Caenorhabditis elegans: one gene and its partner. The protein of the gene in region 1 interacts with the protein of each later gene in a pairwise test. Each region holds a gene or a part of one and is shown on either strand. Other genes may lie near its edges.

Region 1 (4,361 bases):
TGTGCATCATAATGTAATGTGAGGAAATATGGAATGTCGTTTGATCTCAAATGGGAATAGATAATGCATTGTTTCGTATTATGGAAAAATTACTGAAACACAACTGTACTTAAATTTTAATGTTTCTTTTCTTGGTGAACTTTTCAGTTCTAGTCAGCTCCCCGAACCTCCCGGTAATTTTGAAATGTATGTTTCCAGTGAACTTGTGATATTGATGATAATTGGATTTTATAACAGTAGTTTGTGTATTTGTGTTTTATTAATTTTTGAGATTGGAATAAATAATTTGTAAATAAACATTTTCTCCACTATTACATTTTTGGATGAAATCTTAACTAAAAGAGGGATTCAAAAACAATTTGAAAATAGCATTTCGATGCTTGAAATGTGTAAAATTTTGCGCGGTAGTTCACTGTATTAATATTTTACAAGACTAAAAAAATCCATTAATCACTTTTTGCATATTACTTTACAGTCCAATTAGAAGAAAAGCTCAATACCAACTAATGAATAACCTAATGGAACATACTTTTTTCAAGAGTTTGTTGTATACTGTGAAGTTACAGCGTAGACATTGTTGAAGCAGCCAGACGGATGACATAGGATTGATCACTGAAAAATGACAGATTATCAAAAGACCAGTTTTTAGAACCAGCTTCATCCCAATCCCTAGTCGACTGATCTTTACCTCTCTTGCGTTTCGACTGATTCAGGTCAGAAATAGAAATGTCGTTGATGGGAACTTTTTTGAGAATACTCAATGGACAAATCGATGACGGATTTTAGGATCACAACGACGAGGGATTCAGAGACTTGCGAGGACAGCAGAGAACGGACAGACTAACATGGAAGGACATTTTGAAACGTTTTATAAATAGGACGGTTGATTTAAAAACAACAATTTATTGGACCAACTTGAGTGATAGTACAGATTGCAAGAAGTTGGTTTTTTAAATCATAAACGTGCTACATTGACGCACTGAGAAGAGACTGAGGGGAAAACAAAGGAGATGAAAGATCTATAGGGAGTGAAGGGGAGATCTTAAATAGAAAATACACCGGAAAATCAGAAGTTGACCCGAGCACGAAGACACGTTGATGAGAGAGGAGTTGGGAAGAAGAAAGGGCGTCGACGATCACTGTAAAAAGTTAATTAATATTAGTTCTGATTTTAACCCATAACCGCAAATATTTCTCATATTCACGAACTTACCTTATTGCGGTTGATCTCAGTGAGATAAAACGGAACTTTGTCACCAGTCCAAGACGTATTGTTTTCCACAAGATGAAGAAGACGCTCGTCCGTGATTTTCACAAAATCTGAAAAAGATATAATTAGTATTTTGATGTACCTAACACCTAGTTTCAACTTACCATCGATACGACGAGAAGTCGAGCTTTGAGAACGGGGACGTGGAACAATCGACTCTGATGAAATGATCCGCGTTCCGTCAATGCATTTCGACAAGATCTCTTTCAGCTCCAACTTGAGCTCCGGCGAAAAACGAACGTTGTTCACCACAATCACCGTGGCTTGGGTCTGGATCTCATTAATACGATCCACCAGATATGCTTTTAATGAACGTGTCTCAACGTCGTTTAAATTGAAAAATAGTTCCTGGATGCTCTCAATTTCATTTAAGCACATCAAAGTGCACTGTGTATTTTTATATTGTCTTTGAAAAAATGACTTGGGTACAGCTTGGGCAAGAGTTGGGAGCAGCCTCATAAAAAAAGTCGTGGGCTGCTTGTTCTCTCAAGGCATCGCCCAAGGCTTACCATAGTTTTGTCTACTTCTTCTTATTCCTTCTAATGTTTTTTGAATCTGCATTTCTCTCTTGGTCTACATATGATGTTGGTAATGTATAGTAGAAGACCACGTGTGTCTGCACAATTACACTATCTCTAGTGTTCTGCGTCTGCAATATACAACAACAAAACCATTTCGTCGACATACACCGTCCAATCTTATCAGTTAGTTCGACATCATTCCGTCTTTGACCCTTTTTGTTTATTTTTCAACTAGTCATTATCATCAGTTATTCTTTCTGAGAATTTACAAAATTATTTTCTGCTTGTAGACATGTCCAACCAAAAGCCAGTTCTGTATTCTTATTGGAGATCATCGTGCTCATGGAGAGTTCGCATCGGTTGGTATTTTAATTATATCAATTTTAACTAGCAAAAATGTTATTTTCAGCGCTTGCTTTGAAAAACGTGGACTACGAATACAAAACTGTCGACTTGCTGTCCGAAGAGGCTAAGGTAAGAGAAAATCAAGCGGTTCTTTAAATTATTTTAAAATTTAGAGCAAACTGAAAGAAATCAACCCAGCTGCAAAAGTACCAACATTTGTTGTGGATGGTCAAGTAATTACTGAAAGTCTTGCGATTATTGAGTATTTGGAAGAAACGCATCCAGACGTTCCACTTTTGCCAAAAGATCCAATCAAGAGAGCTCACGCTAGAGCTATTTCTCTTTTGGTAAGTTTTACGTATTTAGTTGGTTTTTTTCTTAACTTTATACTGCTATTGTTTTACAAAAACTGTAACAATTATGTTTTGAGGTTTACAGGTTGCTTCTGGAATTCAACCTCTTCACAATTTGAAGGTTCTTCAACTTTTGAATAAAAAAGAAGCAGGATTCGGAGGACAGGTTTAATTTCAGAATCTTCAATGTATGTTTTCAATTTTTAAAATTTCAGTTTGCCAAACAGTTTGTTGTCGAAGGTCTCACTGCTCTTGAAATTCTTCTAAAGCAACATTCTGGGAAGTATGCTGTCGGAGATGACGTCACGATTGCGGATCTCTCCATCCCGCCACTTATCTACTCAGCTAACCGGTATGATTATAGGGAGGGTCAGGGAATTTTGGACATAGATAACTTTTTGAGAAAATTTATTATGTTTTAGTAATCTATCCAGAATTTCAATGTATTAGTTTGACATTTTGCGTATTCAAAACCTCGAAAATTTGAACACCTTTTGGGTTACCCTCAAACAACACTGACCAATTTTTCATAGACAGTTACTGAATCATCTTAGCAAGTGATTTAAACGAAAACACATTCCTATTGAAAACAACATCCACTTGTGTGGCAACAACCTTTTTATCGGATTCCTGATTCAAACAAAATGTATTAGTCATTCAACAAACATGAATTGGAAGCGATGAGCGTTTAGGATGAGACATGAGAGATTCACAGATAACCATCAGAATAACCTCCCTTCCAAATCGTTCCGATCGCAATCAAACCGTCATTTCAGATTCAACCTCGATTTGTCGCCATACCCAACAGTGAATCGTATCAATGAGACTCTTGCTGATATCCCCGCCTTTATTGCCGCTCATCCTGATAATCAACCAGATACCGGACTCAATGCTTAGATTCTTATGAATGATTGCGTTATTGGATTGGACATACAAGAGTTAACTATTTGAGAATTAAAAAAAAATGTTTCTTTGTCTCTTAAATTAGCACAAAAGTAATAATAAATTTACAACAGAAAATGTCCGCGATATCCTAAAGCAAGTTGCTTTTTTTAACTTTGTAAACTAACTTTTCTCGTTTTCATACTGAGTGTTTTTTTTTCAAATAAATTAATTTCTTAAAAATATTTTGAACTTTATTCAAACGAAATATCCAATGGAAAATTTTTTAGTATGCGAGTTCCACTGATAACTTTTTTGCGTTCAAAAAAAATGTCCTGCTTTGAAGACAGAATTTTTGATGTTTACCTATTTAGAAGTATGTTTCGAAATTCAAGTTAAACAGTTGCAGACCGGAAGCCTCCAAAAGTCATTTTTTTGTCCTCCTCTTCATGACCAAACTCAATCCCTGGGGATTAGCATCTGAAAACCCAATCGGCAATGTTGTGTCATGGAAACTTTTAGAGAACTTTCGGAAGACTTCCGTGCAAAGAGAACGTGTTTTTACGGGCGAGGTTGGCATAGTCATAGTACTAGTTGGTTGCCACCCACAACACAAGCCGGCCTTTCGATTCATCAAAGTATCCGTTTTTTTCACTCTTCTCCTCCCGCATTCTCCCCCTCTTTTCTTTGTCAGTGTGGTCTGCAAAGTTCAATTTCCAACTTTTCTCATTTTCTCTATCTCTGGCTCGCTCTTCGCAGCTCCTTTTCTGCTTTTTTTGTCTTTATGCAACCAGAATCAAGAGGAAAAGAGTGACGAATTAGGTTTAATAAAGGGTGATGTTTGACAACTTTGTCAAAGTGTATACCTCCCGTTGTCAAGGCATTTTTAAGTTACGCCTGCACTGATAAAAATGCTATATATAAAAGAAAACACAACACATTTATTGATTTGAACATCAAATTATTTTGGAATCATTTTGTCAAGTGAAG
Region 2 (3,967 bases), on another chromosome or scaffold:
TGAAACTGCATAAACTCGAGAAAATATTTTTTTAATTTTTTTCAGGGAAAATCGAAAAATGAGAATCTGAAAAAAAATGTTCATAAATTTAACTTGCTGTAAACTTCATAAAATCTCTACTTTTCAAAAATTTGAAAAAATTTTCACTGAAAGTTAAAAAAAAAACTAACAGGTTTTATTTTTTGTATTATACTTTATTATGATCACAAACAAATTTCACATTTTTGAAAAAGTTTTTTTTTCAATTTAGAATTTTTATTCTTAATTTATTCCATACCTTCATAGTTCCCTGTGTTCCAACAGGCATAAAAACAGGCGTTTCGACGATGGAATGTGGCAAATGAAGATTTCCACGACGAGCGAATCCTGCTCTCGCCAGCACGTCGTACCTCATATCTGCCTGGCACGTCGGGAGCGGTTCCGGTGTCATTGGAGACTTCACTTCGTAAGTTTTTTTTTCGTTAAAATAGGAAATAATTATTTTTATTCCAAGTATAATTGGTTATGACCTTTAATGAAGTACTGTAACGGTAATTTGTTTTTTTATAATATTCATTGAATTCGTTTGTTTACATATTTTTTACAAACTAAGATTACCTAACTAAAAATTATTTTCGTTCTCATGTTAAAATTATTTGGAAGGATGCGGATCTAGAGCAAGAAACGGGAGAAAATGTGGATTTTATGTTACAGGGAATTTTTGAAAAGCAGATGGCAACACTATACTCAAAATACCGATGTCTGGGAAGTAATAGAGTAAATGCACAGGATGAAATAAGACTTTCTGACTATATAATTATGAGTGAAGGGAGTCGGGACAATGTATGAAATGGCAAAATGGGAAATACAATTATTACACCTTTGGAGGCTTATTGAGCAATTATTCGGAAGTGGCGGCAGGAATTGGAACACCGCCGCTCTGATCTGCATCTAATGCTGAAGAGGGATCGCAAACTTCGAGAATGGCACGACCTTCAACCTCCGACATCGACAATTGCTTCAACACTGCAGACGCTTGATCGACTGGATAAACTCTGTAGTCTGGAGCATCGATTTGGCCTCCGGCAATCAAATTTACAAGGTTTTTCAGTTGTTCGATACTTCCTCTGGAAATTTTGTAAATGAAATAAAGAAAGAAAAAAACTTCAAATAGTACCTCGTAACTCCCATAATGGCCAGTCTGTTTTTAGCAACGTGCTTGATTGGAAGTTGAACATCAAGACCGGAAAGACCTCCAACAAATAAGACACCACCTTCAGCGAGACACTTCAATGATCGAGTGACAGTTCTTGGAGATGTCACAAAATCGAAAACAACATTGACACCGGTACGAGCCACATCCTTAGTTCTCATAATCAGATATTCTTCAAATTCGGAATCATCCCAGTGTACTACAAAGTCAGCTCCGTTTCTTTCGGCCAGAGACAAACGTTCTTCTTTGGCATCAGCAACCATCAAACGGATCTTTTTATCATTGTTGATCGCTAGGAAATGCTTGGCGAGTTTAAGAAGCCAAAGTCCAAGTCCTCCTGCTCCCACGATAAGAATATTGCAGAATCCCTTTGATTGTGAAAACGCTTCGACTATCGGTCTGGCCTGGAAAAAATTGTTGATTAATACTGAAGAAAAAAACCGTGGAAAATGTCAAACCTGAAGAACAGCAGACAACGCCCAGGTAGCTCCAGCAGGCAAAATAGATGCTACATGCATTGAAAGAGTTTCTGGAATTTTCACAAGAAAATGGAGAGTTGGAACAGCAACATAGTCGGCATAACCATGACTGCACATCTCATCAGTTGGCCATACGATTACTTTATCTCCAATAGTCAGATCATAGTCACCAGGTGTGCATTCAGCGCCGAATGACTCAACAATTCCGGAAACTTCATATCCTGCAATAACGGATTTCGAAAATGTTATTTTCATTAGTTCAAGCCAAATTAATCTAAATTTCAAACCTGGAAACAAGCTGGTATCTTTGATTCCGTTGGTAATTCTTGCTTGCTTCGTGTTGGAAACTTCTCTATCAGTAAGGCAAACTCCTGCATAACAAACTTTAACGCGTGCTCCCTTTGGTGGGACATCTGGGATTGGCTCCTCGTCGAAAAACTTCACTTCCCGAAGATCCTTTGGAGATCCCAAAGAAATTCTTCGGTTTGTTGCTGGCATTTTCTGCAAGGAAAATTAAATTAAATAGGTTGAATAAACACTTCAATATCAATAAATTTGTTAACAAAGAATAAACCATCAAAGTGAGAGCATGGGTCACGTGTGTGTTTTTTGAAGAGACACAACTTTTTAGAGAAAAATCAATAGAATCAACATTGTAAACACTTGGAGAGAAATAAAATATTAGTGTTTTCAGTTTAAATGATAGAAAAATTGGTTCAATCACTTGAGACATTAAACTTTGTTGAGAAACAACGTGCCGAAAACAAAAAATCCGATTGAAAAACGGAAAGTGCGCCTAGTCACGATAACGGGGTCAAGAATGGCTTTGCGCACTTTGCGTGCCTTTTGGCGGAATTTTAAATACTAGTTTTTAATAAAGAAAACTTTTTTGCATTTTTCCGGCAAAATTACAGTTACGATTATTATGAAAGAATCTACTTGACTTACAATTAGAATTAGAGATTCAAATTAACTATTGATGTTTTGAAAGCTCTATCAACTTAGGCTTTTTGAGAATAAGCTTTTTAAGTAACCGGAACAACAACTAACTGACATAAACTTTGTGAAATGGAAAACGAAAATATTGCAGATGAAAAATAACAGTGGGAGAGTAACGAGACGCAGGACCCTACAGATGCCGAAGCATCTATTCGTCCCTCAATACATGTGCTTTTCACGTGCACACAAACGAATTTCATCATGACTTCTAGGGGAGAATGAGAGTAGAAAAAAATCTCGAATATTTTCCAAAAAATTGAAACATTTTTCAAAAAAAAAGTTCAAAAAAAATAATTTGAAATATCTCCAAAAAAATCCAATATTTTGCAAAAAAATAATTTGAAATTTTTCCATAAAAAAGTTCGATAATAAAATAGTTTGAGTACATCGAAAATGAGGAAACATCAATTTGTGGTTCGACGTTGTGAACATTTGAAATCAATAGATCATACACATTTTAAATAACTTCATAAACGTTTTTTTCCAAATCTATAAATGAATTAATCAACGTTTAGATACATTGGTTTTATCTTTTTGGAATCCCAATATCTTCAATGCAGAATTTCTGTGATCTGATAATGAACAAGTGATAACAACTGGATCAATTGCAGGATAAACGCTTAGTATAGGCACAATATATGTTGACAGTATTATGAAAGTATTTAAAAATTTCAAGAACTTATGAATCTATAACCTACACTCCATAATTATCACCGGCAAGTGGGAGGAACCATACAACAAATAAAGGGATGATTGTACTTATTAATGGAATTATAGTTTGCGCAATTAAAGATTTGAGAAGACTTGAATGTAATCTTTTCGTAGTACATGATAATGTGCATGCTTTCAGTGACAAGTGAATTTTTCGTGCAAAGAAAACATAGATGATCATAATAGAATTGGTGATAACTGCGGCTACAAGCATTCCCAGAATTCCACTTTTTGACCAGTCATTCACGGGGTACTGTAATTGTTTTTGAAGGGAACACTCATATGATATGATGAGCAAATATCATAGTACAGTCAGTCAACATTTTGAAGTTTTTTTTTAACTTTCCGTCATAAAGTGGTAATTACTCAGTTTTCACTTATTATGATTTAAAAAATTGATCAAGATACATTTTGCGTTGTATGACTTATTATTTGAAATTATTAATATATTCAAACATTATGCGAGGGCCAGCTTGCAACAATGTCTGATATTAATAAAAATGGCCAAACTTTTTGAAAATTCGCCAAATTACCAAAACGTTAACTGAAAACTTTAAAAAAAAACTAGAGCAAATTAAAATCGATA

Evidence for each region.
Region 2: the proteins of gst-42 (region 1) and ZK829.7 interact in a two-hybrid assay, tested with the Caenorhabditis elegans proteins (one large-scale study listed by BioGRID).

The regions. Positions count from the first base shown.
Region 1 is NC_003284.9:11,725,519-11,729,879, reverse strand, and holds gst-42 (putative maleylacetoacetate isomerase), read left to right. Parts: upstream 1-1,943; 5' UTR 1,944-2,083; coding exon 2,084-2,150; intron 2,151-2,200; coding exon 2,201-2,265; intron 2,266-2,309; coding exon 2,310-2,483; intron 2,484-2,574; coding exon 2,575-2,655; intron 2,656-2,704; coding exon 2,705-2,841; intron 2,842-3,265; coding exon 3,266-3,386; 3' UTR 3,387-3,616; downstream 3,617-4,361. Other genes in the region: D1053.3 (Ras family protein), read left to right, coding at 1-17; D1053.2 (Histone-lysine N-methyltransferase, H3 lysine-79 specific), read right to left, coding at 1,137-1,139, 1,214-1,320, 1,375-1,729.
Region 2 is NC_003282.8:11,959,364-11,963,330, forward strand, and holds ZK829.7 (Enoyl reductase (ER) domain-containing protein), read right to left. Parts: upstream 2,173-3,967; 5' UTR 2,170-2,172; coding exon 1,959-2,169; intron 1,893-1,958; coding exon 1,651-1,892; intron 1,597-1,650; coding exon 1,157-1,596; intron 1,107-1,156; coding exon 881-1,106; 3' UTR 542-880; downstream 1-541. Other genes in the region: tgt-1 (Queuine tRNA-ribosyltransferase catalytic subunit), read right to left, coding at 278-430.